Linked DNA regions of Sus scrofa. The protein of the gene in region 3 interacts with the protein of the main gene of each other region in a biochemical or structural test. Links are inferred from orthologs where the notes say so. Each region holds a gene or a part of one and is shown on either strand. Other genes may lie near its edges.

Evidence for each region.
Region 1: the proteins of UBC (region 3) and UBXN6 form a complex in vitro, tested with the Homo sapiens proteins (2 studies listed by BioGRID). The link is inferred for Sus scrofa from reciprocal best matches to the Homo sapiens genes UBC and UBXN6.
Region 2: the proteins of UBC (region 3) and PSMD5 form a complex in vitro, tested with the Homo sapiens proteins (2 studies listed by BioGRID). The link is inferred for Sus scrofa from reciprocal best matches to the Homo sapiens genes UBC and PSMD5.

The regions. Positions count from the first base shown.
Region 1 is NC_010444.4:74,374,377-74,376,825, forward strand, and holds part of UBXN6 (UBX domain-containing protein 6), read left to right. Parts: intron 1-708; coding exon 709-806; intron 807-1,356; coding exon 1,357-1,432; intron 1,433-2,089; coding exon 2,090-2,174; intron 2,175-2,262; coding exon 2,263-2,449. UniProt on the Homo sapiens protein: May negatively regulate the ATPase activity of VCP, an ATP-driven segregase that associates with different cofactors to control a wide variety of cellular processes.
Region 2 is NC_010443.5:260,849,321-260,851,912, forward strand, and holds part of PSMD5 (26S proteasome non-ATPase regulatory subunit 5), read right to left. Parts: coding exon 2,540-2,592; intron 2,007-2,539; coding exon 1,866-2,006; intron 1-1,865. UniProt on the Homo sapiens protein: Acts as a chaperone during the assembly of the 26S proteasome, specifically of the base subcomplex of the PA700/19S regulatory complex (RC).
Region 3 is NC_010456.5:28,252,386-28,256,145, reverse strand, and holds the start of UBC (polyubiquitin-C), read right to left. Parts: upstream 2,290-3,760; 5' UTR 2,234-2,289; intron 1-2,233.

The sequences.
Region 1 (2,449 bases), on a different chromosome or scaffold from region 3:
ATCCTGTCTCTGCTGCCTCAGTCTATCCCTAGAATGTCCCTCAGTGGGCTGGGGGATTAGGAGGGATGGTGTGTCCACGGTGGCCAGCAGGTTCCGGATCTAGAGGCTGCAGCGCCCTTGGCGGTGCTTAGTGCTGGGTTTGGGCTCCAGAGCAGAAAGCAAAGATGTGTGTCAGACCAACCTAGGGTGGCGTAACCCAGGCTGCCAATGCCCCCTCTTTCCTAGAGGTGGGGGGAGGGTGAGGCCCAGGCTGGAGTTCTCAAAAGGGCTTTTCTCCTTGTTCTGCTGGGCCTGCACGATCGAGTTTGCTTTGGTCACATGCTAGGGCCTGCTGTGAGAAAGTTCTGTTATCACTGGTGTCACTAGACCCAGTTGCTTGGCTGGCATGGCCTCCAGGCGCCAAAATGGGCACTTTCTTTTTTTTTTTTTTTTTTGTCCTTTTAGGGCCACACCCACGGCATATGAAAGTTCCCAGGATAGGGGTCAAATTGGAAATGTAGCCACTGGCCCAGATCACAGACACAAGGCCAATCCAAGCTACATCTTCTACCTACACCACAGCTCACGGCAATGCCAGATCCTTAACCCACTGAGCGAGGCCAGGGATCAAACCCATATCCTCATAGATACTAGTTGGATTCATTACCGCTGAGCCACAACATGAACTCCGGTGGGCCCTTTCTGACTCGCTTTCCTCCCTCCTCCCAGCACTTTTCCACCGACCCAGTGGCTGCTTCTATCATGAAGATCCACACGTTCAACAAGGACCGTGACCGGGTGAAGCTGGGCGTGGACACCATTGCCAAGTGAGTGGGTGGACCCCACCCCTCCCACCAGGGTCCCAGCTCCTAGGCCTCCATTGCAACCTGCTGAGGGAGCCTGGAGGGAGCATGGCCCTGGGAGTGCAGCCAGGCCCCACCCTTCACTCCCCTAAGCCCTTGGGGAGGGGGCTTGGCCTCTCTGGGCCTCAGTTTAGCTATCTCTAAAACGAAGAGTTTTGCCAATTTAGGGGTTCCCAACCCTGACTTCCCTCCCAGAGCATCAGAACATGAAGGAGGCAGGGTTTTCCCCTGCCCCCAGTTCCTCTGACTGAGCAGGTCCAGAGGGGCCCAGGGGTCCATGTTGCCCAGGAGCCTCTGAGCTATCTCTGGGCACCATTATTCTGTCTCTGCCTGCTCCACCCCACCGTGGTGGTTCCTCAGTGCCCCCAGTGGGAGAGCCTAGACTGAGGAGGCCCAGTGATGGGGGCAGCAGGGGTTGGGCTCCGAGGGTGTCCAGGGTATGATGGCAGGCTTTCCTGGGTCACTCGTAGTACAAGCTGACGTGGCTGTGAGCTGCCATCCTTGTTCACCCCAGGTACTTGGATAATATCCACCTGCATCCGGAGGAGGAGAAATACCGGAAGATCAAGCTGCAGAACAAGGTGTTCCAGGTGAGGGCTGCCACCAGACTTAGCCTGGTGTGGCTAGCATGGCCAGGCCCGAGGCCACCCAGGACCCAGTCCAGCAGTAGGAGCAGGTGGCCTGCAGATAGCCAGAGGGGGCCAGAGCCAGGCTGCAGAAAGGCCCCTGCAGGAGTTGGGAGTTGGCAGGTGGGGAGGGGGATTCCTAAGCACAGGTTGTGTACAGTATGCATACAGTGTCTGCTCTCCCCACCAGCCACAGCATGTTTCGGCTTTTCTTTGAATTCATTGGAAACACATCAGCACTGGGGAGATTTTTCACGGACAGACTTCTGGTTTCTGTGGAGAAATCAAAGGGCCTCCCACCCTGGCCCTTTGGTACCTGTGCAGCTGGCAGGGCTCCACTGTTTACTGGTGGCCCCCTCTGAAGCCCAGCATCACACAGCCCACCTCCCTCACTTTTGGGGATTCCCTCGCCCCTCAGCCTCCTTTGCTCTGGTGTTGACCTTTCAGGGTCCCAGGCCCTATGTAAGCTAAGCCCCACAGACAGCTTCAGGGGTTCATCCTCTCTGGGGACAGAGCAGCTCTGAGACCCGGGACTTTGGGAGGAGGATGGGGTGAGCAACAAGGCTGGTGGGGTGCATGGGGGCCTCCAAGGTCCCATATGACCTCTGGTTCTGCTCTCAGGAGCGCATTAACTGCCTGGAAGGGACCCACGAGTTTTTTGAGGCCATCGGCTTCCAGAAGGCACTGCTTCCAGTCCCTGACCAGGGTAAGACGAATAGAGAAGAGCCTTGGCTGAGCCCAAAGAGGGTGGTGGGAGGGGCCTGGCTCAGAGTTGACATCCCTGTATGTCACAGAGGGCCCTGAAGAGTTCTACGTGCTGAGCGAGGCGGCCTTGGCCCAGCTACAGAGTCTGGAACGGCACAAAGAGCAGCTGTTGCACGCCGAGCCTGTGCGGGCCACACTGGCCCGTCAGTGCCGGGTCTTCCGGCCCTCGCCCCTGGCCTCCCAGTTCGATCTGCCCATGGATTTCTTCAACCTCAC
Region 2 (2,592 bases), on a different chromosome or scaffold from region 3:
ATTTAAGAATGTTCATTGTAGCATCATTTGTAATAGATACCATCTAAATCTTCACTTACTGGAGAATGACACACTATAGCCATACAATGAAATACTAATGACTTTCTCTCTTTTTTTTTTTTGTCTTTATAGGGCAGCACCCACAGCATATGGAAGTTCCCAGGCTGGGGGTCAGATTGGAGATACAGCTGCTGTCCTACACCACAGCTCACAGCAACGCCAGCTCCTTAACACACTGAAGGGGCCAGGGATCAAACCTGCATCCTCATGGATGCTAGTCGGGTTAGTTACTGCTGAGCCACAAGGAGAACTCCCTAGTGACTTTCTAATTGCCTCTTTTAGTTTAGATAAGTCTTAAAAACATAATGTTAAAGAGAAAAAGCAAATTGCGAAACGATATGAACAGCATACTATTTACACAATTTAAGAATATGTAAAATACTATAATTTTAAAATATAATACAACCATGAAAAAAAACTATAATTTAAGTATACATGCATAGGTAGTAAAAGCATAAAATCATGCGTGTGCTTATGAATCCTGAATTCATCACAGTGATTACATCCAGAGAGGGAGAAAAGGGAACTGGATTGGGCATGGGTAGCATGACTGTGTGTTTGAAATACTTCACCAATAAATAAGTAAATAAATAAATATTAACAAATACCAATACTAAAAGGAAATATACCAAACAGGTATATTCTACTTCTTGATCTTTTTCAAATTTAAAAATAATGAATAAGCAACTTATATGGTTCTTTTTTTTTTTTTTTTTTTGCTTTTTTTTTGCTTTTCAGGGCCTCATCTGCAGCATATGGAGGTTTCCAGGCTAGGGGTCCAATTGGAGCTATAGCCGCCGGCCTATACCACAGTCACAGCAATGCGAGACCTGAGCCATGTCTGTGACCTACACCACAGCTCAAGGCAACGCCGGATCCCTAACCCACTGAGCAAGGCCAGGGACCAAACTTGTAACCTCATGGCTCCTGGTCAGATTCATTTCCACTGCGCTACGATGGGAACTCCAATAGCAACTTATATAAATATTTTTGAAAATTTCACTCAAGGAGTTCCCGTTGCGGCACAGCAGAAACAAATCTGCCTAGTATCCATGGGGATGCAGGTTTGATCCCTGGCCTTGCCCAGTGGGTTGGCGATCTGGCATTGCTGTGAACTGTGGTGGAGGTCACAGATGTGGCTTGGATCCTGCATTGCTGTGGTTGTGTATGCTGGCAGCTATAGCTCTGATTTGACCCCCAGCCTGGGAACTTCCATATGCTGAGGATGTGGCCCTAAAAAGCAAAAAGAAAAAAGAAAATAAACTCAGCAAATCTTTGCTGAATGAATCAATAAATGCAAAGTATAAGAGCCAATATTGCTTAGCTCAACCTTGTGGGTTTTCGCAACACCTGCTGAAGAGATACCTCAGCTAGTTCTTGAAAAATGAATGAGTGGTTAACAAGCAAAGCCAGGAAGTCAGGGAAGACTGTTGAATGGAAAGAGTACAGGAGGATGCAGAGATATGAAATGAGAAGTCTGGTATCACTAGAACATCCTATGCCAGAAAGGAAGGGCAGGAAATAAGGCTTGGGAAAACCTGGGCTAGGGACGTAAAGAATCCCGAATTAATTCTGGATTAATTAATTAATCCTGTTCAAACATATGCTGTAGCACCTAATTAATACCTTTTACTAATAAAATCTATCTACAAAGCTGTCTCCCTCATTAGTCTACACTAAGAGTAGAGGGCAGAAACTTCCTGTGCTCTTGTGTATCCCTAGGGCAAGGCAGAGGGACTGGCTCACTAAGTATTCAGGTACTGAGCTGGCAGAGGCCTAGAAAGGCTTGTGAAGAGAATGCTTACCGTAAACACTTTTAAGGCAGCACAGTGTAGTTCAGGGAAAGGTTGATTACTGATGCCACGGAAGAGCTCCAGCGGGTCCCGAGATAAAGAAGAAAACCAGGATTCTGTCATCCTCAGGAGGTCATCAGTCTGCTGTTCAGGCTACAGGACGGAAAAGGAAAATCTCAGGACACTAGAAAGTCAGGAAACCTGGATTCTGATCATACTCTGTCTTTAACTTGCTGTGTGGTCTCTGCCAAGCCTGAAGTGCTTCCCCCTAAACTCAGCCCAAACTGCCCCAGTTTTTTGCTTTTTTTGGGGGGGGGGGTTGATTAAGCAATTTCTAGGGTGCTCTCCAGCTTTTTTGTTCATTTTTTGGCATGTGAAAGTTCCCAGGCCAAGGACTGAACCTGCACCGTAGAGATGACCGGAGTTACAGCAGTGACAATATTGGATCCTTAACCTGCAGAGACACCAGGGAACTCTCCTTTCCAGTTTTAACATTCTACGATTCCACTTTAACTTAAAAAATGTCACCAGTCATAAATGAGGGTTATCTTCTTTCACTACAAGTGAGAAAGATGGCGTTTTTTGGTCAACATTTATAGTAAGTTAACCAGTATTATGTTGATTCATACAGATTTCTTCTCCCCTACATATCCCTAAGTCCTTTATTAATTTCCCAGTCTACTTACTGGTAAATAAAAAAGAGAGGAAACTGCATCCAAACACCTAATTTTGAGCTCTG
Region 3 (3,760 bases):
ACAGCTGTGAAACACTCCTTGCGCTGGACCTGAAAGCTGACAGAACTTTGCGGATTGCTCTTCGGCCTTCCTGTTTTGTTCCCGATTATGAGCAAGAAGGCATCAGAATTTCACTTCTGCTGCCATTTGAACTCAGAAATCAGAAATCAAATCTATTTAAACCCACGTTTTCTTTTTTTCTTTTTTTTAATTTTATTTTTTAATGAAGTTTTTTATTGTAGTTGATTTATAATGTCAATTTCTGCTTTACAGCAAAATGATAGTCATGCATATATATACATTTCCTTTCTTATCGCTGAGCCTGAGATTTTTAAAAGGACACTAATTGTAAGTTCTGTATAGTCCTGGTGGAAAAAAGACCCCAAGTATGAAATTTAAATCTATAGACAAATTCCATTTGGATAAAAGAAAAAGATCACCAGTCAGATCTTTTTCATTTTGATATTTTATTTTGTGATCTCTGTGTCATTTCTCCAGCATATTTTTTCCTTTTTTCAAAAAGCATACTTAAATTTTTTTCCAAAGGCATATTTTAAAAATGTTTTAAAATATATGAACGTGATGAAAACTTAAAACAGGTTTTCTATAGTTTATAATGAAAAACCTCCCTCATGCACTCAATTCCCTAGCCACTGTTCTTTCTAGACTCTTCTAGAAATATTCTCTATTTCTATAAATGTGGGGAGGGTGTTTTTAATTTTTACCCTTGAAGCTTTCAATAAATATATAGAAAAAGAGAGAACCGACTAAAAAATACCCTGCTATTAGGAAAAGACTACATTCCTGTTGGAATTATAAACATTATGTTATTTAAATACTGTACTTAAAATGAGAATAAAAACAAAACTATGTTTTCTTTGGCAACCTGTGTCTGTAGGTATTTATGGGAAAGGTCTAAGCAGTATTCAAAACAGACTTTAACTCCTATCGTTTTAAACATTTTCAAAGAGAATGAATTCATTACCAAGAAATGTAAATGAATAATAAAAATAAAATGTCATTTTTCAGTTTAGCAGGAGACCTCAGTGACTTCCAGTAGAGATTTCTGTGAGGGATATTTCTAAATTTCTGAAAAGAGGGTTTAAAGGAACAGAACATCAAAGCTCTGTATAAGGTTTCCTTCTTGAATTCCAGAAAGAAGTTTTCAGAGGAACAAAAAGCTGAGGTTCTTTCTCAGGTGACTAGGCCTGGCTTCAAACCACACCCTGTTTTCTTTTGGCTGTTCTTTCACTGCAGGTCTTATGATTCATGTTGTTTAAAGGCTGAGTCACGAGCTTTGTGACATAGCTTTTTTTTCAAGAGTCCAAAAACTACAGAGAAAAACAGACCTGATTTCAGAGGCAAGGGAAGGTGAAAAGGAGAAAGAGGGGGAGAGGGGGAAGAAGAAAGGCTCCAAGGGTGAGGACTGGGTCCCAGGGCTATCTCCAAAGAGAAAACAATATTCTTAGGCGCTAACAACACTGATGTTGTCTCTAGCAGGAAAATTCTCTACTAGAGAATTTTGGTCTCTAAGTCCAACAGTGGGTTTTGTTGAAGCAAATAGAAATAAACATTTGTCCAAGGGCACTGAAGTGAAAGGGAGGAGGGGGAAGTAAACTCTCAGGGAGGTAGATGCTGTTTCTCTAGAGCAGTGGTTCTCAACCAGGAGCGACTTGGTCCCTTGGTGGACACTTGGCAGTATCTGGAGACATTTTTGCTTGTCACAGCTGTGGTGTTGGGGTTGAGGTGTGCCGCTAAAATCTAGTGGTAGAGGCCAGGGATGTTACTAAACATCCTGCAGTGGCCAGTCCCCCACAAAAACAGAATTACCCAGCCCCCAAAGTCAGCAATGCAATGGGTTGACAAATTCTGCTCTACGGAGGATTTTTGTTGTTTTTGTTAGAGCTGCTTTTCTGTTTGCTGAGAAGGGCTCCCAAAGTCTAAATGTCCCACTTGGATTCGGGGATCGTGTACCAAGTCACGTTCCTACAACCTAAAATCCCTTGACCTAGAATGCAATGTGCTAGAATATGCCAGAAGCAGGATGAGTCATTGGATCCATTTTCAGTTCCTTCCACCCACTGATCCATCCTTTGCAGGTGCCCCAGAAGGGATGGCTTCAGAGCTGGCACCAATGGAAGAGTGACAGAGGCCCAGCAACACGGCAGGATTGGCGGGCAGGCAAGAGCACGTGATGGGCTGAGCTCACAAAGGGCCTGGGTGTTGGGCTGTTGGGGATTGGACTGGAGCCTACCTGTCTGCCTTTCCTCCTTTCCCCAAAGGATTCAGCTCTCCTGAAGGTCACCACCTTGTATGGGACTTAACTCAGCGTCATGAGAGTGTCTACGTAGTGACCAGCAAACATTTTCTTTCCAAGAGAAAGGGTGAAATCTGAGAGCTGGACGGGAAAGGTTTGACTTGCGTCATCATCAGTTATATAACCATAAAAGGGAATCTGCAGCTTAGGAGAGAAAAAATAAAAAGAAGCCCTAGGGACTCTACTCTGTCCGTTTTCCTGCTTACATTTATGTATTTGCATTCTGTGGCAGAACACAAACTGCTCCAGCTTAAAAATAACCCATCTTATCCCCCCGCCAGTCAGGAAGTCAGATTCAGTTCCAGTACCCAAATTTGCCTAACTTAGAAACACTAAGAAATTTTTTAACTCACTGGGGTTTTGTTTTGTTTTTTAATTTGCTGTTTTTAAATTGTGGCAAAATACACATAAAAATGTATCATCTTAACTATTTTTAAGTGTACAGCTCAGTGGCATTAATTATATTGTAGGGGAGGAAAAATAATTTTCCTTTTGGGAATCCTTCTTTTAGCTGAGACCCCTGTAATGAAAGACAGATTAGCAAGAGAAACAAAACAAAAGAAAACAAAAACAATAGTTTAGTAATATGCACACCTTGTGTATATATGGGAGCTACCCTCTGGGGGAAAATGTGTCACTTAAAAAAAAGGCTTTAGAATTTAGGCTTAAATACCATCTTAATAGGAAATTCTCTTAAAGGGAGAGTAAATAATTTTTACTGAGAAAATAGAAGAATAGATGGAGACAAGATAGTTGATGACAAAGTTTGGTGTCAAAGTTTGTCTCTCCTGTTTTAAGAGCCAATCTTCCCTGGTTGGTGAAAACTCCCTTGAGTTTCTTTTGCAAAATCTGTCTGGGCAGATTAGGGGAGTTGAGTGAAAGCCTCACTCTGCATTTGCTGCTTTTCAAGTGACTACACCTCAAAACAATATCAAATTGGGGTATTTGGGTGTCCATCACTGCCATCTGTGTCCACTCTTCGGCTTGCTAGACTGAAATTTTGTACGCATTAAACACTAACTACCCCCACCCCCAGCCCTGGGCAACCACCATTCTATTTTCTGTCTCTATGAATTTGACAAGTTTTTGGTACCTCATATAATGAGTTTTGTTAGTTTGTTTTTTAACTATGAAATAAAATCTAATTATTGAAAACATGTTTTCCAAAGATTCATGACATCTTTTCTAGAAAGTTCTGTCTCCCAGGACAAGCCTTGTTATTTGTTCTGTATGGTATTTTTTTTTTTTTTTTGTCATTGTGCTATCAGAAATACTGAATTATAAGACACAAAGTAAAACAGAAGCACATGATTCATGTTAGGCCTGGTAACTTTAGAATATTTTGTTCTTTTAACACCTTGTTGACATTTAGGGAGAAATAACCTTTACAGAAGTTCCTTACAAAAAAGGAGCTGTCACCAGTGCTCTAGTACCCACTGGTGAATCGTTTCATGAATTTCAGTC